Elephas maximus indicus: one gene and its partners. The protein of the gene in region 2 binds, or shares a complex with, the protein of the main gene of each other region. Links are inferred from orthologs where the notes say so. Each region holds a gene or a part of one and is shown on either strand. Other genes may lie near its edges.

Region 1 (6,995 bases), on a different chromosome or scaffold from region 2:
ACCTAACACTCATCAAATCCCTGTCTCTGCCCATCTGAATTCTAGCCACCCTTCAAAAACAGCTTAAGTCCTAAAGTGTCCAGGAAGCCTTCCGCAATCACTTCAGTCTGTACTAATCATTTTCCTCTTTGAATACTGAAGCCTCTATGGGTGACAGTAAAAATATGTAACAACTGGCATCGCTAGGGTACCAACCAATCAGAACTGCCAACCTTTCTGGTGAGCAGCTGAGCTTTTAACCACTGCCCACCAGGGCTCCACCCCCAAAAGGGGACAAAATTAATTATGCAGTGGAAAGACTGAGCAGTCAGGAGTCAGGGGGAAAAGAGAAATCGCTGGAACTGAGGGTTTGCACTAGTGAAAGGGTGAGATTCTCTGGTCTGATACTCAGAGATGGTTCTAATCATGGGTCTCAAGTATATGCTCTAATGGCTGAATACAAATAGGAAGTCTTGTAAACCCTTCCTGGGGATCACTGAGGAAGATTAGTTTGGCAGCAGCCTGTAGAAAAGACCAGATGAGAGAAACAATGGAAAGCAACTAGATTCGAGGGATAACGGGCAGCTGGCTGCATACAAAGAGGCATACTTAAGAGGCATTAATAAAAAAAAAGAGTTGGGTTTTAGGCATGTTTTCAAAGAAAAAAAAGTTATGAAATGGCAGAAAAGAACCTGCATTCTCAAATGGGATATATATGTAAACATAGTGGTATGAAACTCTGCACTAGGGATAGGAAACCATTTTCCCTAGAGAAATCTATGCTGTAGAAAGCAGAAGCCAGGCAGAGAAATATAAAATTAACAGCCAGCCGATAAAGAACTACAAGTTCTTGAATAAGGAAGGCAATTATAAAGAAAAAAAAGCTTCTGAGCTTAGCTTCTTCCGTATGTACAAAAAGGATGAACTGAAACATCAATATGAGCAATCAGGGCAGGCAGACTAGTTGACGTAGTCTGGGCTTGGAGTAATAAGCATCTGGATCAGCTTTCTATCGTATGCATGCCAATGTATTCTGTAAACTCCTTCAGGGCTTGGGTTGAGCAATGTTCTGTACAGCCAATTAAGTCTAATACTGTTACCTGAATACATGAATATTCTGTCCTACAATAACTGGAAAAGAGTGAATTACGTTATTCAAGTTAATAGTGATGTGGAAATGTCATTTCTGTTTGATGTATAACTATGCTGATTCTACCACAGGTCCACACAATTATCTCCTCTCCCCGAGGCCAGTATCAAAAATCCATTGTTTTTTCTTGTAGTTTCAGTGTGAAGGGACTCAGGAATGTGCTGGCAGTTAGAAAGAAGGCAACCTGGTATTCAAATTTTGAAGCCAAAATCTAAAAGTGAATAATAAAGATCAATCACTATCAGATGACTGAACAAGAAAAATGGGCCGGGTAAGACAGTCTGGCATATATAAGGTGTACAGGCTTTGGAAACAGAGCCCTGGATGCAAAGATGCAAATCCTAACTGTAGCACTTAGTAAATGAGTACTTAACCTCTCGCCTCAGTTTTCTCATCTATAAAACGGGGGCAAATGCCACTAGCCTTGAAGATTTAGTTGTGAGGATTAGCTGAAGTACTTTAGTGTACTTTATGCACCTACATCATAGTAAGCTCTTAAAACACAGTAGCTATTCAGACTAATAATTGACACCCTCAGCCTTGGGTTGAGTCTTTTGTTTTTTATACAGGGTGTCCGATTTCAGAAATAGGAATGTACTTTTACTATATTTCAGTTGCTAAAACTAGGTCCATATTTTAGCTTCTAGTATTGTCATTTGGTTTGTAACACGAAGTTTTTCACCCTGTACTCCATTTGGGTAGATAACCACCTACCCCATCCTGATTGAGTATTTTGGAAAACCAAGCAAGCATTTTCCCTTGAAAACCAGCTATGCAGATGACTGATTCAAACTACTGTCACTGGGGAAAAGAAAGATCACTAGCATTCTTCTTCGAGGAAATAAAAGCTTTTGATAAATTCACAGAGTAATTCTCATTCAAACATTCCAAACCCCGCAGAGTGAGCAAACGTTCCATTTTTTACTATGAAAACAATCCGTAGCCGTCTGGTTACTGGATTCGCTTCAACACTTTCCAGACGCACGAAAGAAGAAACATTCCGCACATCTTCGTCCGCCTCCTTCCACACAAAGCTTCGCAGCTCCCTCGCCAAAGGCACCCCAGGCTGTGGAAGCAGCCTCTCTGAGCAGGACCGGGCCGGGGCCAAAGCTGGGGGCAACCCTAATGACCCGGGGGTCTCAGCCACAGGTAGCCCCCTCTCACCGCCCGGGGAAGCCTGAAGGCTCAGAGCTCACACTCTGCCTGGGAAGCTTCTTTGGACCCCAACCCCGCCCCGGACCCCTGGGGCCTCAGGCACCGACTCGCTTGGGGTGGGGATACCAGGGACAAGGCTTCACAGTTCCCTCGGCGGAGGTCAGCGGAAGGCCCTGCTCTGCTCGCCCGGGCCACCCTCGCACCCTCAGTCCTGGGCCCTCACTCACTCACACCCCAGAGCGCAGCCCCCGGCCTCGGACGGCTCCGCCCGACGCCACCTCTCCGGGGGAGCGCCAAGTGGGGCGGCCTCGGGCTGCCGGGCGTCCACCCGCGCTCGGACACACGCCCCCGTCCAGCCTCCCCACCGCGCCTGCGGTTCCGTGGCGGGGGCCTGGCCGCGCCGGGCCAGGGAGCCCAACACGCGCCCAAGTCCCGGCCCCGGCGCCGCCACCTGCGCCCCCGGCCCGCGCCATGTTTGAGAAAGAGAAGGAGCGAGCCAGAGGCCGGGCCCTGCCTGCGCGCCCGCCAGCCGCCCGCCAACCCGGCCGCGCCGCCACTCACCCGTCGTCCCTGGGACCAGCGTCGCCGCCGCAGCTAGCACGAGGAGGAGCAGCCCGGGACGCGGAGCAGCAGCCGCTGCCTCCATGGTCCCGCCGCCGCCGCCGCCTGTGGCCCGGCCCGGCCCGGCCGCCGCCTCGCCTCAGCAAGCCTCGCCTCGCCCCACCTCCCCTGCCGCCGCCGCCGCTGCCGCCGCCGCCGCCACCGCCGCGGCCTCGCTTCAGCCCTTTGTAACTGCTCCGGAGCCGCGAGTCCATTGGCTGCCAGGCTCCCGCCGGCCCCGCCTCTCCGCCGTCTGCGAACCGCCCAGCGAAACCCAGCCGGGAGCCCCGCCCACGGGCCCAAGTGGCAGCCAATCCCGAGCTGCGGGGCACGGCCGCCGACCACGCCCCCAGCACTCCCCCTGCGCAGGGCGCCCAGACCCCAAGCCCAGCCCGCGCTGCTCCGGGCTCGGAGGCGGCCGGGTGGGGGCAGGGTCTCGCCAGCCCCGGTGCGAGGGCGTCTCTTGTCCCGGATGGGCGAAGGCTGAGAGACGGGTCTGTCTGTGAGTCGTCGGAAAAAGGCTGTGGCCCCTCGACTGTCTTTTAGCTTCCTCTAGACACCAACGACCTGGCACTGACCTCCACCCCAACCCCAACACATTCTGCCCAGATCCGCAGTGTCCTCAGGCTTCAACTCTCCGTCCCCAGGTCCGCGCTTCAACTTTCAACATCTGCCCCCTCAAAACCCTTTCTCGGTGCCCTTCCTTTACGACTCAGTCTCCTGTTTACTCCTGCTCTAGCCCAAGTTCCAGGCTCAGAAAATTCCCAAATCCTAGTCTCAGAGCCCAGCCTCGGACCCAGATCCTGAGCTCAGACACACCCCCCAATAGCCTCCCTCCAGAACTCAGAGAAGACTCAGGCCTTCAAACTATTCGTCTTCCCCGTTCTCCCTTCCTGATCCAGGTTGGAAAGGGAAGCCCCCACCCCACCAAAGGAGGAGGATTCCCCTTCTCAGCACCCGCTCCCACGGGGCGTAGGAGAAGCAGGCATTACCTTGAGCTGTCTGACACGCCCATACAATAATTCTGAGGTGTCACTGAAAACCCAGATAAACTCAACTACGTTTTCATTCTGAATTCCTAATTTACTGTGAGGCGCTCCACCCACCTTCCCGCTGGGACACCGAAATGAGCTCCAGATTTATAATTCTTCCTGTCAGACTGATCCTTTCTTCAGACACAAACACAGCCAAGGAGGCTGTTACATAGAACAGAGAACATTCTTCCGCAGAACCTTTTAAGGAGAAAACAGTTCTATTTTCTGTGTGATTTGAACTTGGAATTAAATAAATGTTGGTTGAAAGACTCATACCCAACCTCAAGTAAACTACTTTAGCGCTATTGGCTGAGCCTTTTACCCACCTATTTAGACTTTTTTTTTCAGTGAGCTGTCAAGTGCGAGGGCTGGGGGCATTGGACTAGAATCTGAGACCTGCTCTAGTCACTCCTGATGAGAACACTTAGCCTTTCTGAGCCTCAGCTTCTTCTTCTATAAATCGGAAATAATATCTGCCTCCCAAGGTTACTGAAAGACTATGATGAGATTTTGGGGTTCCCTTAGCCCCTTTTAAGTTCCATTTCAAAGTACTCCCTTCAGGCCCCTGCCTACTCCCCACCGCCCAGAAAGGTAAAGGCATGGTATTCACTGAGCCGTGGAAACTTCCCGGTGGAGCTCTGGACCACCAGCCACAAGCTCTACTCCTCCTGGCTGCTGGCAGGCAGAGATGCTGCTGTTGGCAGGCTCCAGCCCCAGTCTGCTCTCTCAGTCCTCAATGGAAACTTGGGTAAACCAGGGCCCCGTGACACACAAGGTCTCTGGACTGTCTTTTCGATGCTTTATTCTCAATGTCTTGCATAAAATAAGAGCTCTCAAGAGATATTTATTGTACAAACGAACGAACGATTCGCCTTTGAAAAGTGACTGTTCTCTGAACTTTAGGTTCCTCCTCTGTAAAGTAGAGATAACCGTGCTGTAATGCCTACCCCATTTGTAAATAAAAAGGGATTGAATCATATGTCTTGGATTCCCTAAATGATGCGCTGTGTCTGGAACAGTGTCTGGAACATAGTAAATATTTAGTTAATGCCATTTCCTTTGCATATCCCCCTTCCAGCTCTGTATGATTCTATCCAACATTTATGTTCATATTAATCTGTGCCTTTGCTTTACAGAGCCTCAGTCAATCCATGTTAAGATATCTTCCATGACACACCTCCAGTTCCTTAACATTTTCCATGGAACTGACTGCGTTCAATAGAAAACTGAGGAAGAGGAAGGAGGAACAGAGTATTTTTAAATTTTATTTTCCTGATATTTGGAGGAAATTTCCATGAGCCACGGATCCACAAATAAACTACATTGGAATAGACCAATAAATTGTAACTTTAAAATGGTGGTTGTGAGACCTTAAAGTGTCTCCAGATTACCTGGGAAGCTTTTAAAAATGAAGATCCCAGGGGTCTAGCCCCCAGAGTCTGGCTTCAGTTGACTTAGAGGGGGCCCATAAATTTGCATTTGCAAAAAGCACCCCAGGTAATTCTGCTGCAGGTGGCTGCCATGCTACATTTTGAAAGTGGTTTAGAAAGTATAACCTTAAAATTCAGTAAATTAAAATGAATGAGCTTGTTCCACCTTTGGAGAAAAGATGAACAGTGGAAAGAAGCCTTTGACTTTGGGGGCCTGCAGACTTTAGTTGGAATTCTGGCTCTGCCACTTACTAGATCTGTGCACCAATGTAGATGCTCTGAGATTTAGCAAGCTCCAGTGCAAAATGGAATAATATTCACATATTGTTCCTACTCATATATTTGTTATGATATCTAAATGAGCTCTTGAACATAAGCAATTTATCATAAAACCTAATTCCCATAATAGGTTCTATAGGCTTGTAGGTTATCTACTCCAATGTCTAACTTACAGGGGAAGAACCCGAAAACCAGTTCCCCAGCAAGTCTGGTGCAGAGCCAGGACTAGGAGACTCACTGCAGTGCTTTGTTCCCTGCACAATACTACTTCTCATTCTTTATGCTGAGTACATTGTGTTTGCTTTTCCTTCTGTTTTCATATTTACCCCCGTATAGAGCACGGAGACTCCTAGTTGCCTAACTTACGTCCATTTCCCCATATGCTTTATAACAGAACCCTGATTTACTTTGCTAAAGAAATCCACCTAGCTAAAAAAAAAAAAAAAAAAAAACCTCAATTTTCCAGGCTTCCTTGCAGCTAGGTATGGCCATGTGACTGAGTTGTAGTCAGAGAAATATAAACAAAATCTGTCAAGTGGAGCTTGTGGGAAAGATGTGGTTTTTCTCATAAAGAGACAGATTCATCACATTCTTTCCTTCCTATTTCTGCCTGCGACACAGTTTTAATGCCTGGAGTTACAGTAGCCATCTTGTGAACATAAGGATGATGGCCATAAATGGAGATGGAAGGTAGAAAAGAAAGATGGAGAGATAATGGGTCCTTGTGGACATCAACTTTTTTTTAAGTATCTGTCCAAGTCTTTTGCCCAAGTCTTTTTATTAACGATTTGTAATATATATCTATAACCCAAACCCACCCCAGTACCGTCAAGTCGATTCCAACTCATAGCGACCCTATAGGACAGAGTAGAACTGCCCCATAGAGTTTCCAAGGAGCACCTGGTGGATTCGAAATGCCGACCCTTTGGTTATCAGCCATAGCACTTAACCACTATGCCACCAGGATTTCCTAATATATATCTATATAACCCGTATATGAGTCTTTTGCTGGATATATGTATTGCAAATGTTTTTGCTCAGTCTGTTATTTTCTTAACATTGTTTTCCCAAGAACAGGAGTTTTATCCCTGAGGGACTGAATTACTGGGCTGAGGGCTGGGGACCGTGGTCTCAGGGGACATCTAGCTCAATTGGCATAATGCAGTTTATAAAGAAAATGTTCTACATCCTACTTCAGCGAGTAGCATTTGGGGTCTTAAAAGCTTGTGAGTGGCCATCTAAGATAACTGCACTGGTCCCTCCCCATCTGGAGCAAGGGAGAATGAAGAAAACCAAGGACGCAAGAGAAAGATTAGTCCAAAGGACTAATGGACCACAACTACCACTGCCTCCACCAGACTGAGTCCA
Region 2 (7,356 bases):
TTCTATTCCGATCAGACAATGCCTCTGCTGCCTCCAGACTGTGTCACAGCCCCTCTCTGGGCCTTGGTTTCCTGTTATTCTTTGGGAAATCACCGTAACATCAATCTCCCTGCCTTCCAATCCAGACTCTCCTTACTGATGCGCTGTGTAACCTTGGGCCAAAGAGTTCCCCTCTCTGATCTGCAGACCCTCGTCTGTAAAATGAGGACCCATGGCAGAACACAGTGCAAAATAAATGAGACAATCCAGGGAAAACATGTAGCACAAGAGCCTGCATACATACAGCAGTCACTCAATAATGTGTGTGTTAAAGAGCGCTCGCTTTTCAAAGTACTTTACAAGCATTAAAATAGTTAAACCTTACAAAGAAAATACTATTATAGCCATTTTATAGATGGGGAAACTGAGGCACAAAAGTGAAGCAATTTGCCCCAAGGTCACATAGCTAGGAAGCTGCAGGGGAGGGATTCAAACTCAGGCCCTCCGGTTCCCAAATGGTGCTCTTATCCCCTAGGCTATGCTGTCTCCCTGCCAATGACTATTATTATTATTAATTGCTTCCTCCCTTAACTCTCTCTTTAGCTGGTTAGAGAAGTTCATGACATTCTTAGGTAAGAATGGCTGCAGGGGAAGAAGAGAATTAACAAGGCCATTTTCCAGTCTAGGAAAATTTCAAGGGTGGGGGTGAGAAGGCAGACCATAAACTCCTGGATCAACTTGGAAGCCACTGCTTTGGGTCTCCTATAGTGGGGGTGAGGGATGGTGGAAACAGGCTCTGAGGGGGAATGACAGAGGAAACCCCATCCTGTAGCCCCCTCCCCCTATTCCTCACCACTCCCTGCCCTGCGCCCATACACAAACCCTACTCTTGGCCCAGCGGTTACTGAGCACACCCCAAGGGAAGGGGAAAGCCGGGGCTGGGCAAGACAGATAGGGAGAAAGAAAGGAAGGACAGGCAGGGTCAGCGCGCTGCAAGGAGGAGGGAGAGATGGGGAAACCGCGGAGACACGGGGAGAGGAAGAGAGAGAGGAGAGACAGGAACCAGAGACCCACACCCGGACAGAGAGACGAGTGGGATGGTAATGGGATGAGGGAGATTTGAAGAGACAGAAAGAAGGGCACAGACAGGAAAAGAGATGGACGGGGGGATAGGAAAGGCGTACAGGCAGATGGGAGGCACGCGGGCTTCGGGGAGAGACAGAGACAGTCTAGAGAGAAAGAACAGGGGCGGGAGGGGGGTATCGGTGAAAGCTCTACAACGAAGGTGAAGGACGGAAAAGGAAGAGAGAACCAGATGAGGGGCGTGTTATTTGGCTGGACCCGAAAACTGGGCGCACAAGCAGCCCGGGGACCGGCAAGTCTACTGCTCTAGCGAAAAAGTGAACCCCGGGGGATCACCCCCAAGCCTCTGGGCCACGCGGGGCGCCGGGACTCCAGGGTCCCAGCGCGGGCGCGGACGGGCGGGCCCAGCGGTCGCTCCACCCCCAACGGGGTGAGCAGGGCGGGCGACGACGCAGCGGCAAGGGCGGGGACCAGACCTGTCTCGTCTCGCCCCAGGCTCCGCGCGCGATCCCCGGCCCCCCCTCCTCGCCCTCGGGGCACGGGAAGGGAGGGTGAGGCGACCGGACGCTGGGGTTTCCCCAGGCTCCACGAGAGGAACTGAGACTTTGGGGTCCTGACTCCCAGCCTTTAACTCCGCGGGGTCCTCCTTCCCCCTTGCGGAAGCGGGGCTCCTCCCCCCGCGCGTGGCGCCCACGTGGGGCTTTCTCACCCCGCCAGCTCCGTGTTCTCACTCCCCGCTTGCAGAGTCGTCCCCATCCACCCCTCCTTTTTCTTTCAGAAGGCCAGACTCCTCATTTAGCCCATTCCCTTCCACCCCGCGGCATATAGGGGCTCGCACTACTTCCCCTCCCCCCTCCATCCACCTTTCCCACGCTGTCTCCCTTCTCTGTAAACCTCTTCACATGCCCTGTAGGCTAGGTTTCTTGGGTGGTCGCTTCCTCCGCTGGGCTCCACCCTCTATTTCTCACCTCCCAATGCGAAGCACCCACAACACCTTCCCGCACATCTCCGGCACCCCCCTGGGGCGTCGGCTTCTCTCCGGCTAGCCTCCTCCCCACGACCCCGCGTCCTTCTCTCCTGGTATTTATCATTCTCCCTGTTTTTCTCTCTGGGAACCTCCCCTCCCCAATCCCATGTGTTCCTCGCGCCCTCTGGAAGTGGTCCATTCTCCCACTTTCCTAACCTTCCTGGCCAACGACCTAACGACCCCCGAGCTCTGGGTCAACTTCCTCGTGCCTCTCCTTTCCCAAAAGCTGGGGTCTTCGCTTCTCCCAAACCGAACTCTCCTTTCTGCAGCCCCCACTCCACAACCGCCATTCTTGTCTAGTCTTCCCCACCTCAACTGCTTCTGTCCCTCCAGGGGACTCCCCTCACAATCCCGCATGTTCCTGATGCCCCCTGAAAGCAGTCTACTTGGCTCCCTAACTCCTCCTCTTCAAGACCTGGTACCTGCGAGGGTCTCAGCCCCACCTTCTTTGGAACCTCCCTTGATCCCGGTGCCCCCAGGGGCCCATTTCCTCCCCTTGACCCCTGCACTCCGGCGCCCCCTGGGGGCTCCCCTCCCGGCTCCCCTGCCCCTCGGAGCTCACTGTTACTGCTTTCCACCATTAGCACGCGGGTGACCTCCTTGGCGTAGTAGTCCGCCTCGGGTTCGGGCTCCGGCTCGGCGCTCTCCCCGGCCACTTGGTCTCGGGTACTGTTGTAGAGGGCGAGCACGGCCTCAGGCAGCGGGCCGGGCGGCACCTCCCCCTGGTTCGGGGGACTGGCGAGGCGCAGTTTGGATAGGATCTGGCCGCGGATGGCCTCGATGCGCTTCCGCTTCACCAGCTCCATGTCGATGGTCTTGCAGGTGGACAGCCCCGCGGCCGGCCGGCCCGGCGTCAGCACTAGCAGCCGTAGCAGCGGCAGCAGCAGCGGCAGCAGCCGCAGCCCGGAGGGCGGCATGGGGGAGGCGGCGCCCCCCGGCACTGCCGAGCGCGCGAACGGGGATGGGGTTGGGGGAGGCCCCGCCCCTGCAGGGGCTTGGGGTCTCCCAGGGGGAGGTAGGAAGGTCTGGGGGGAAAGTTGAGGCCCTCAGGAAGAAGGGAGCAGGGGTGGAAGGGAGGCTCTGACGGGGCGGGGGGAGGGTGCCTCGGTATCCTACGTGAAAAACCGAGATGGGCAAGATCTGAAACCAGAGGGTGGGTGGCCTTGAATGGGGAAGCTGAGGCAGTTCTGAGAGAGATCTCGTCTCCTGGGGGAGAAGAGTCCTCGGGTGCTCCGGGGTTTAGGAGAGAGGCTGGGAATAGAGGGTGGCGTGCAGGGGGGTGCGCCCGAGGTCTGGGGGTGATAAAGTCTTCGTGTGAGTCCGGGTTTGCGGCTCCTGAGGGCTGGTCCGGAATGGGGCGCCTGGGGGACGCCGAGTGGGGGCCAGAGAGGGAGCGAGCTTCCGAGGCGGGGGGAGGGTCCGGAGTCCCCAAGTCCTGACTCCTGGGGGACAGCGCCGCGCCAAGCGGTCCCCTCGCCTCCGGCTCCCAGCGGCAGCGGAAAAGTCTCAAAACTTTTTTTTCCTCTTCTCCCAACCAGCTCGTCCCTCCTCCCGCTCCTCCTCCCCGCAGTGGCGGCGGCGGCGGCGGGGGCGGCGGCGGCTCGTCTCAGACTCTGGGGCCTCGGGCTGCTCCTCGGCGGCTCCTTCCTCCGCTCCGGGCCGAGGCTGCCCCGCGGGCGGCTCAGAGCCGGGGGTGTGCCCGGGAGGGGGCGTCCCCCCTCCCCCCGGCCGGGGGCCTCGCTGTCTGGCGGATCCGCGGCGGGAGGAGGGAGGGGTACGGCCCTGGGAGCGAAAGGCTGCGGCGGCGGAGACCGGCTGGGGCAGCGGGGAGTTTTGAAGCCGCCCCGGCCCCACCCAGGAAGCGCGCTGGGCGGGAGCGGCCCCCAGGGGGAAGGCATGGGGGGGCCGGGCCACCATCCTCATCTCGCGTGGGCGGGCTCCGAGGGGGGTCCCTCCAGCCCTGGGGGGAAGGAGACGAGCACCCGGCTCCGCCCCACGAACAGGGTGCTGCCTCCTGGCGGCCGAGCGCTACAAAAGCAGCGACTAGGGTGCGGGGTCACAGAACGAGGACCTGTCGGGGAAGCTTCAGTCAAAAGATGGGGACACAGGGGAAAGGGGATCAGAAAAGAGGTGACCCAGAGCAGGGAAAGAGACAGAGGCTGAGGGGGTCAGAAAGAAGATGGACGGGAGTGAGTCAGAGAAGGGATGTCCAGGACGAGAGGGGTCAGACCGTAGGGGTGCAGGATTGGAGGTCAGAGCAGGGGTGTCTAGGAGAGGGGATCAGAGGATAGGGGCATAGGAGAGGTCAGAGGAGAGGTACCCAGGAAAGGGGTCAAAGGATAGGGCTGCAGAAGAGGTCAAAAGACAGCAGGGTGGGAAGGGGGGTCAAAGAAGAGGCACCCAGAATAGGAAGGAATTGAAGGTGGAGAGGCAGAGGAGGGGGGAAGCAGACCTGTCAAAAGGTGGGCCCTGAGGAGGGAGGGTGTCAGTGGAAGGAAGGAGCACAGGGCAGAGGTCAGATGAAGTCAAGAAGGCAGATACACCTGTAAGAATCGCTCTCCTTTATTGTGCACCTCCCATGTGCTACACAGCCTTTTCTCCCAAGCTCCCATGACCCCGCCCTCACAGTCCCCATTTTACAGATGGGAAAACTGGGGCCAAAAGGCACAATCACTGGTTTGAAGCAGCCACACCATGCCTTGGCTGGAGTCAGTTCCTGCCGACCCCAGATCCCATGCTCGTGGCCACTGTACCATCCTGCCCCTCATCAGGTGTCCAGAGTGTGGATGGGGGCCAGATGTTGCAGGCAGAGTCCCTCAGCATTCAACGCCGTAGCGGTCGAAGTGGCGCAGCAGCACGCCGAGCTGGAGGTGCACGGTGCCACCGGCGGCCGTGTGCAGGCGGTAGCGATCAGCTCCACTGTAGATGGTGTCCCCATGCAGCAGCTGTGGTCCACCGCCCACGAAGGCCCGTGCCAGCTGCTCCCGCCAGCTGCCCAGGGGCCGCCACGTGGGGCAGTCCAGTTGGTGGGTGCCCGGGCTGCTGGGCACGTGGCAAAAGCCATAGCCAGCAAGCTGGCAGCGGCCAAAGCTGTCCTGGGACCACACCTGGAGATGGAGCCGGGGCCAGCCTGTAGGACCGGAGGGAGCAAGGAAAGGGGGGGATGGGCAAGGCCCCGCCTGGCATATTCATGGTCCAGCCTCCTGCTCCTCAATCCCCTTCCCTTGATACCCAATGGAGACCCCAGCCTGCTCCTCCCTTCACACCCCTGGTTCTTCCCAGGCCTCTTCCTTGGTTTTCCACCTCCTGCTCCACCCCCACACAGCAGCCAGAGGGATCTCTCTAAATCCATGTTCCTCCTCTGCTCAAAACCCTTCCATGGCTCCCCAATATCCTCAGCATAAAGTCTAACTTCCTCGACACTCAAGACCCTTCAGATCTGGCCTCTGTGACATCCCTGAGGCCTCCTCCTCCGTGTCCCCGTCTCAGGGTGGCCCCACTGCTTCCCCAGTCCTCAGATGAGCACCTTGGGCCTTGTCTGGATGCCTCCCCCTCCCCTCCCTGGGGTCCCGCCCTGCACTCCTCCCTGACTGGCCTTCTGTCTTGTCTTCTCCAACCCCCTTTCCCCTGGTGACCGCGAGCATCTTTTCTCCCCCTTCCATAGGTTTCCTCAGAATACTGCTCAGCTCCTCAGGCTGGTGGCCGAGGCCCTTGGAGATCTGGCCCTGGCCCACCCTCCCTTCAGAACCCGTCCTCTGTGCCAGGCCCCGTTCTAGGAGCTGGGGATCCAGCATGAGTAAGGCAGACAGAAATTCCTGCCCTTGAGTAGCTGACATCCTAGACAGCAAACATAGTAAATAAGTAAATTACAGGCTATGTCAGATGGTGATAACTGCTCTGGAGAAAAATTAAGCAGGGTAGGGTAGGGGTGGGGATACAGTTTTACAAAGGGGTGGTCCAGAAAGGCTTCAATGAGGTGACATTTTAGCAAAGGCTTCGAGGGGGCCATGTGGACATCTAGTGGAAGAGCATGGCCAGCAGCAGGAATAGCTAAGGCAAAGGCCCTGAGGCTGGAGGGTGCCTGGTAGGGCCAGTGGGGCTGGACTGGAGTGTGCCGGGGAGAGAGGGGCAGTGGGTGAGAGCCAGATGGTGCAGGGACCTGTAATCCCTGTTTTATGAAGTGTGTCCCCCCAAAAACTATGTGTTGTAAATCCTAGCCTCTATGCCTGTGGTTATAATCTCATTTGTCTTTGTTATGTTAATGAGGCATGTTTAGTGTACGGTGTATCTTGAGTCAATCTCTTCTGAAATATAACAGAGATTAAAGGAGCAAGCAGAACAAGCAGGGATGGGGAAGAGAGATGCGAAGCCATGTGGAGATCTCTCTGGAACCAGGAAATGAGCTGAAGAAACAAGGACATTCCCCCAGAGCCAACAGAGAGAGAAAGCCTTCCCCTGGAGTTGGCACCTTGAATTTGGACTTCTAGCTTCTTAAACTGTGAGAAAATAAATTTGTGTGTTAAAGCCACCCACTTGTGGTATTTCTGTTCTAGCAGCACTAGAGAACTAAGACAACATAGGAAGGCTTTGGCTTTTACCCTGAGTGGCACGGGGACCAGGGGAGGGAGGGCTCTGACAGAGCAGGAACGTGATCTGATTTGGATGTTCACGGGGTCCCGCTGGCTACCTGTGGGGAACAGACTGGGGTGGAGCCGGGGGTGAACCAGGGAGGGGACCAACGTTGGGGGACAGAATTGCCTGTCTCATCCTCCCAATTCATTGCTTACTTGGCAGCCAGAAGATCTTTTAAAAGCAAAATACAGTTTGTCCATCGCCTGCCCTGGCACCCCAGTGCCTTCAAATGGCCTCAGGTCCTCAGCCTGGTGTTCAAGGCCCTGCATGGCCTGTCCCCTACCACCTCACTCCCTGCTGCCCTCCTAGTCTCCCTCCCTCAGTCCTTCAGATGCCCCTCTGCTTAGGAACTCTCTTCCAGTCCTTTGCCTCACTAGCTCCTACTAGCCCTTCACATCAAAGCTCAAATGTCCCCTCCTCCAGGAAGTCCTCCCTGATCTCCCCGACAGGGTCAGGAACCTCTTCTCGGTTCCCAGGCCCCAGGGGCCCCCCACCCCAGCCCTGTCCACTTGGGCTGTCACTGTGTGGGGACAGGTCTGTCTCCTCCACTGGATGGTAGGGCCCCTGAGAACAGGGCTGTGGGTATCTCAGTCACTGGTATCTTCCTGGCATCATCTAATATAGGGAGCCCTGAT
Region 3 (6,861 bases), on a different chromosome or scaffold from region 2:
CAGGCAAGATCTCCTTTTTTCTCAGAGAGTCTGAAGGATGCTTTTGAAGAAGCATTGACAGGGCCTCTGGAGGCTGTGTCTTTGACTGTCAGACAAATTCCATGAGGATGAATTTCAAATGCAGGAGGCTGCTCTGAGGCCCTTTCTTGCTCAGACACCAAGGGCCACCACGGTGTCCTTTAAACCTTGTTCCCTGGGCTTCCCTCAGGCCCCCACAGCTGCTCTATGCTCAGGTTTTACAAGTTGGGCTTTCTCACGAGATTTTGTTCTGCTGTTTAAAAAGCTGAACAACACAACCCGTTTGAAAGCTAGTTGCCTCAGAATTGAGTGAAAATCCCTCTGTGGGGGCCTTCGAGGTCCTCAGAAGCATGCCCTGCCCAGCCAGCAGCCCCCTCCAGCCTTGTTTCTCACGGCCCTCTCTCCCACTCTGACTTCTGGATGCCTTGTACTTCCGTCAGCTCTCTGAGCACCTTTCCACTGCCCCAAACCTTCACTTCCTCTCCTCTCCTCACCCTTCAGGTCTCAGCTTCCTTCAAGAAGCCTTACCTGGTTCTCCAAGTCTGGGCTACATATGGCTCCGGCAGCCCCTGAGCTTCCAGTGAGCACAGCACCTTCCCCCTAGGGGAACTGCCTATAGGGCATGGGGTGCTCACTGTTCTCTGGGACCCATCTGGGGCAGGCAGGGATAGGAGTGTCTCGGTGATAGGGTGACACTGGCAAGAGCAGTTATTCTCCTTGACTCTCCCTTCACCTCCCTACCACATTCCCTCTCCCCATCGGCAGAGTCTGTCTGCTCTCCCTGCAAAACAGCTCCCAGACCTGCCGACTCCCTCCTGCATCACCGCCACAGGCTGAGGCACCACCAGGATCCTGGGCCTCCATCACAGCACCAGCCTCCCCAGTTTGTTCCCCTGCTTCCGCCCTGAGGCTTACAATCTGTTCTATACGTAGCAGCCAGAGTGATATTTTAAAATCATAAAATCACATATCAGATCATGAATCTTTAACTGCTTAAAAACCTCCATGGTTTCCCATCTCCCTTAAAATAACAGACTGTGCCCAAAACTCTCTCTGACTGCATCTACCATTTTCTCGGCCCTCGCCAAGGCCCAGCCTTTGATCCGGCCTCAGGGCCTTTGCCCTTGCTGACCCCTCAGTCTGGAATGCTCTTCCCCAGATCTTCACATATTTCATTGTTTTCCTAGCCTTTATCACTACCTGATAATTTATTTCTTATGCCATGAGAACAGGAACTTACTACACAGGCGCTCACTAAGGGTCTACTGAATGAGTGGCAAAGTGGGGGCAGACACTTGACTGCAGTGGGCTGAGTGGTGAGTGGGAGGTGACAACAAGGATGGACCAAGTGGTTTAGTTCTGAGCCTGGAGGCAGAAGTCGCCCAAAGGGCCCTTATGTTCTCTCCTCTGCCTGCCAAACCCCACCCCAAGCCACCCCAAAGTGAGCTTCTCTGAGCCCTGAAGGGGCTGCCCTGCAGCATGCAGGAATTCTGCCCTGGCACCTGATGGAAAGGGCCCCTCAGCCGCACCTAAGACACCCTTAACCCATTGCTGTTGAGTCCACTCCAACTCATAGCGACCCTATAGGACAGAGTAGAACTGCCCCATAGAGTTTACAAGAAGTGGCTGGTGGATTCTAACTGCTGACCTTTTGGTTAGCCAACTAGCACTTAGCCACTGCACCACCAGGGCTCCATAAGGGCCACTCTCTCTCAGTGTTTCCACTCCACGAGCCCAAGATGTTTCTCCCAAACTCCCTCCCCTCCCCGCCTACGATCCCCCACCAGTACACACACAGACATTCTCACACTGCTGGGCTCTGGGATGCTTCCTCTCCCTCCTCTCAGCCCCGATGGAACTTACTGGCAGAGCAGGGTTTCTGGGAGAGCTGATGTGGACCGTTCACACCAAGCGTGAATCACGAAGGGCAAGTCCCATTCTGGAGATATGTGCATCCCACGGGGGAATTAGACCTTAACCCAAAGGAATGTGGCTGGGATGGTGGAATTTCAGGCAGCTTGGAGTGGAGGTAGGGGTCCCTCACATCTTACCACCCATGGAGAAGGCTGCCTTCAGAGGCCTGGCAGAGGTGGGAAACTCCTCCTTCCTCCTGAGAGATGGCAGGCTGTCTGGGGGTGTGGGATGGGAAGCCCTGTGCCCGGGCCTGGGTCAGAGGGTGGCAGGAGACCTGGAATCAAATTCTGATCTGCCCTTCACTAGCTGTTTGTTCCTGGGCAAGTCTCGGCCTTTCCGCCATAGTTTGCCCATCTGTCAAATAGGAACAGCGAACTCGCCCCTTTGCCTGAAAGATCCAATGAGACAGCCGCCTTGGAGACCTCTCGGGGCTGAGGGAGTGTCAACCCCGACGAGAGTGGGAGGGAAGTGTTGGGCAGGGGGTCCTGATTCTTCCCAGGGTGGCCCCACTCCAGCTTCGAGCCCTCGTACGCTCGAGGGGCACGGGCCGTCTGTTCCCCGAGGAGGTCAGCCAGCCTCGCCCCCTGGGCGGCTCCTACCTGGCTCAGCGCGGCCGCCGCTCCTCTCCTCGGCGGTCCCGGAACATTTTGCGCAAACCTGTCCCCCGGTCCCACCCTGCGCCAGACCCCGAGGTCACGGCCGGAGGAGGCGCACCGCCGCTCCGTTGCCCCAGGGAGCGGGACCCGCGAGGGGGCGGCCGCGGATTCAATTTAAAAGCCTCTCCCGCCGACCCGCCCCACCACGCCCCCCTCGGCGAGGCCGCGGGGTCCTAGCGCCGGTCGCGCGCCCCCGTGGGACTCGGTTTATCCGGAACTGGCAGATGGGCTGAAGCATCTTCTTTACGCGGGAAGCCGGGCTGGGAAGGGGCGCAGGGGGCGGGATGAAAGGGCCAGGGAGAGAGAGAGGGGTGGAAAGGAAGCGCCGCAGGAGCGAGCCCGGCCCCGGGCGGCTGCACGTGCAGTTCGGCGCCCCGCGGGGTCTGGAGGGGCGGGTGGCTCCAGGAGCCGCAGGTCCGCAGAGGAAATCCGGCCTGGCCCCGACTTCCCCGCTGCCGGCGCCACCGCACTGAAGGGGGGCCACCAGGAGAGGTGGCGGTGTGGCTGAACGCGGAAGGAAATGACCCCTCACTGGCCCTGAGGCGGCCCTGGAGGGGCTTCCCCGCACAGCGACGCTCGGGTCCCTGCTGCTGAGTCCCGGCAGGCCGCTGCCCCTCTCTGCGCCGTCTCTAGTGTCAAGATGCGCCCTCCGCCATCGTCTCCTGGGCCCCTAACAGACCCTGTAAAGCAGTACCGTCAAAGTCCCCAGTTTTCAGATGGAGAAACTGAGGCTAAGGGTGGCGGCAGTGAATAGAGAAATAAAAACCAAAAGTCTCTGGGACTTTTAAGGTCTCCATTTATAGTTGAGGAAACTCAGTAAGAAAGGTTAAATGGCATATTGAAAATCACACCGCCTGTAAGAAGCAAGGCTTCAAACCCAGTGTGTCCACAAAGCTGAGTCCAGGTCAGTTTGGGTGTCTTTTCCAGGCACCGTCTGGCCTGGGTTTTTTTTTTTTTTTTTTTTAAGTGCTGTGGAAATTTGTGTGTGGGGCGGCGGGGGGCGGGGGGGCGGGGGGGAGGGGGTGGGTATTATTATTGCCTTCTTCATCAGAGGTTGAAGAAAATCTTCCCCCAAACCATCTTTCTTCTAAATGCCTTGGCCCTACCAAATTACAGGTACTGTTGGATGTGGGTCCAAGGAGGGGGGTGCCTGGGGGAGGAATCACTGCTGTCCCCCAGGCCCTGGTTCTTAGGGTAGAAACTTCATCTTCTGCAATCCTTTTCTTCCCTGATGGTCACCAGCCCTGAGAGTGGGTGTCCCCATTTTCCAGGTGGGAAAGTGACCACCCAAGCCTTGCGGCAAATCGGAGTAAGGCTAGAATTAAAAGCCAGGTTCCCTGAAGTCTAGATAACCCATTGCCGTGGAGTTGATTCCAACTCTTAGCAACCCTATATGACAGAGTAGAACTGTCCCTTAGGGTTTCCAAGGCTGTAATCTTTATGGAAGCAGACTGCCATATTTTCTCCCATGGAGCCAACCTTTCAATTAGCGGCTGAGCATTCAACCACTCTGCCACCAGGGCTCCTTGAAGTCTAGATGGCTGCTACCTTTCCTTTCTGCCGTCTGGTCTATGTGGAGACTAATCTGGGAAGATGGGGACAGCCCAGCGAAGACAAGAGGTGACAGCAGGTGGCCTGGGGTCCTGACCAACCTCAGAAGAGGAAATCAGGGAAGGCTTCCCTAAGGAGAGGGCCGAAGCTGCGATGAGGGGGTGGGTAGGAGGTTACAGGTGAGGGACCAGGGCAGGATCTGGGAAGGGTACCCAGACCTGCCGCTTTCCTCCCAGTCACAGGAAGTCGCAGTACTCTGCTCATAGGGGTCATTCCAGCTGACCCAAACCAAGCCCCCTTTGGGCCCTGGTGCTCCATCTGATCAAAGGGAACCTCAGTTTGCCTGTCCTTCAAGTGGAGAAGATAGTTGCCACTTCTCAGGTTGGTGCCAGAACGAAGTGTAATGGGGTGAGCCTGGGGCCTGCACCCATGTCCTTGTCCAAGGGGACAAATATCCAGGGAAGTGCCTTGCAGCAGCCCTTCAGCTCAGGTAGAACATGACTGAGTTGGATTCAGGCAGTTCCTGGGCTCGTCTGCCCCACCCTGCTCCAGGCCCAGGCCGGCTGAGTGCCACCTCACCCTTTCCTTCCTGGAGCTGCCGCCAAGTAGAAACTGCTGGCCCAGAGCTTTGCTGAGGCTGGGGCAGGGCAGGGCTGGAGCTCTGTCAGGCTGGAGGTGAGTGGCCCACCTTGCATACCCCCCACACCAAAGGCTGTGGTTGTGGTTAGTTAGATCATGGGGTTTCACCTCACTCATTGCCCGGATGGGGCTCCCCAGGAGTTGGAAACAGGTGGGCAACCAAGTGTGCCCACCCACTGCAGATACCTCTTGGGACTAGGGGCCCTAAAAGCCGGGAACCCCACATGCTCGGCACCCATTCTTTTATCACTTCACTTCTTCAGCAGTCTTGTTGCTGTGTGACTTTTGGCAGGTTGTGTGACCTTTCTGACCTCAGTTTTCTCATCTGCAAAGTGAAAATGATAATAGCACCTAAGGTCCTGGCTTGTTGTGAAGATCAATGCAACCACAACATGTTTAAAGTACCTGGTCAGAAGCCTGGCCCCTGGTACTTGCTCAGTAACCATGACCTCCTTTCCTGGGGGCCCCTGGGTAGCTGGTGAATGAAAATGTCCAGTGCCTGCCCTTGTGGAGCTCCCAGACCAGAGGGGAGGCAGATGAGAACACAGAGGATGACTAGTGCCTAGGGGACTCGAAGGCAAAGTCTGCAAGACTGAGATCGAGTCTGCAGCTCTGAAGGAGGAGGGGGTAGGTGGGAATGAGCAAGGCTGGATTTACTTGGTAACCCGTTGTGGAAGGGGGCACTCTTTAAAGGCCAGGAAGGCCAAGTTTCTACCCAGTGTTGCTCAGCCCCCGCTTGCATACCTCCAGGAGTAGGGAGTTCTGGACATGCCACCCAGGGACAGTTCAGACTTCACAGTGTTGGTGTCTTTGTCAAAATGCTTCCTCTCTGCCAGTGAAGATAGGAGGCACATCTGTTTCAGAGATGTGAAAACCCTCTCAGGCACCAACTGATCCAAGTCAGGTCTTAAGTCTCCCCGGCAATGTTTTAGCTCAGGCCAGCATGAAGCCAAGGGTCCCACATAGGAGCAGGTGGCCCCGGAAGGCAATGATGGACATGTCCTGTGTGGCCTTGGACAAGTTACTCAACCTCTCTGAGCCTTGCTGTCCTCATCTAGCTGTAGATCTGAAGTCAGAAGGACCATGGTGCCCTAGATCCCCTATTCAGTTTCTATTGCTCTTTGCCGAACACCGACTCTGGGCCAACCCTTCATCTCATGTGGCAAATCAGGTAAAGACAGCCACAGAAAACTTCTGGTTAGTTGTCTTTACTTTCAGTGACTACAAGGAAATTGAGGTTCAGAGAGGTTAAGTAACTGGCCCATGTCACACAGCTTTGGAGCTAATAATTGAACCCAAGTCTCCTGCCTCCTGGGCCAGATCCTGGTGCAAAGGTATGGCCTTTCTCACCCCGTACCCCTGCTCAGTACTCATGTGGGCCCTTGGGAGTCAGGGAGTTCCCTTATCAGCCCCTATTGGGGCCCTGCCTTCTGGGGCAGAACCTTGGGTTCCCCATTTCTTCCCCTGCCCACCTTCCCCTGACTCCCTAGGGCAGCTGGACTTAGGCCAAACTAGCTATAGGCCACCTCCCGGAAGGACAATAGGAGAGGGAAAGAAATGTTGCTGGTGTCAGCTTTAGGGAGTGTGAGCCAAAAGCCATCAGATGCTTGGGGAAACAAATGTTTATAGACACTGTGATTGTCCCGCACTCTGAGGAATAGCTGATCTGTTTAATGGGAATGAGGGCTTGCAGGACCAGGCCTGGTGCCACGCATTCTACTTGAGCTAGCTCCTCCTCACAGCCATCCAACCAGGGGAGGACTGTCATTGCCCCTGTTTTATAGAAGAGGGACTGAAGTTCAGAGGGATCCTGGGGCTTGCCCATAGTCACACAGCTAACCGACATTCTCATCCTAGTCCTCAGACCCCAAGGCCCTCATGTGTGTCCAGAGACTTGCTTGGCTGGTTTTCTGTTCTCAGTGAGTGCGAGTCACTCATCACTGAGGCACTTGGAGTGACCAAGATAGAGAAGCATGTGCTGGTGAGGCCTCATGTAGCCCTCGGCCACCGCACAGGAGGCTCCTGGCTCTGATTCTGGTCAGTGAGAGCAGGGGCTGAGAGGCCTAGAGGCTCCTGGAGGCCC

What was found.
Region 1: the proteins of TGFB1 (region 2) and TGFBR1 are in contact, whole or in part, in a crystal structure (PDB 3KFD), measured with the Homo sapiens proteins. The link is inferred for Elephas maximus indicus from reciprocal best matches to the Homo sapiens genes TGFB1 and TGFBR1. Residues at the interface, in NP_000651.3 of Homo sapiens: Ala279, Leu280, Asp281, Asn283, Tyr284, Tyr328, Ile329, Trp330, Gln335, Lys338; in NP_004603.1 of Homo sapiens: His39, Leu40, Thr42, Lys43, Phe55, Asn68, Met70, Ile78, Phe84, Val85.
Region 3: the proteins of TGFB1 (region 2) and LRRC32 are in contact, whole or in part, in a cryo-EM structure (PDB 8VSC), measured with the Homo sapiens proteins. The link is inferred for Elephas maximus indicus from reciprocal best matches to the Homo sapiens genes TGFB1 and LRRC32. Residues at the interface, in NP_000651.3 of Homo sapiens: Leu30, Ser31, Thr32, Cys33, Lys34, Pro325, Pro327, Tyr328, Ile329, Trp330, Ser331, Leu332, Thr334, Gln335, Tyr336, Val339, Leu342, His346, Ala353, Pro354; in NP_001122394.1 of Homo sapiens: Ser135, Tyr137, Glu158, Ser160, Thr162, Val184, Met186, Asp187, Ile188, Glu189, Asp190, Phe193, Leu202, Leu204, Arg206, Asn207, Ser208, Leu209, Thr210, Cys211, Ile212, Ser213, Asp214, Phe215, Ser216, Leu217, Leu223, Leu225, Cys227, Ser229.

What each region holds. Positions count from the first base shown.
Region 1 is NC_064827.1:48,995,649-49,002,643, reverse strand, and holds the start of TGFBR1 (TGF-beta receptor type-1), read right to left. Parts: upstream 3,019-6,995; 5' UTR 2,931-3,018; coding exon 2,846-2,930; intron 1-2,845. UniProt on the Homo sapiens protein: Transmembrane serine/threonine kinase forming with the TGF-beta type II serine/threonine kinase receptor, TGFBR2, the non-promiscuous receptor for the TGF-beta cytokines TGFB1, TGFB2 and TGFB3.
Region 2 is NC_064829.1:109,836,978-109,844,333, reverse strand, and holds the start of TGFB1 (transforming growth factor beta-1 proprotein), read right to left. Parts: upstream 3,013-7,356; 5' UTR 3,007-3,012; coding exon 2,652-3,006; intron 1-2,651. Other genes in the region: B9D2 (B9 domain-containing protein 2), read right to left, coding at 4,906-5,219. UniProt on the Homo sapiens protein: Transforming growth factor beta-1 proprotein: Precursor of the Latency-associated peptide (LAP) and Transforming growth factor beta-1 (TGF-beta-1) chains, which constitute the regulatory and active subunit of TGF-beta-1, respectively.
Region 3 is NC_064825.1:45,847,950-45,854,810, reverse strand, and holds the start of LRRC32 (transforming growth factor beta activator LRRC32), read right to left. Parts: upstream 3,019-6,861; 5' UTR 2,070-3,018; intron 1-2,069.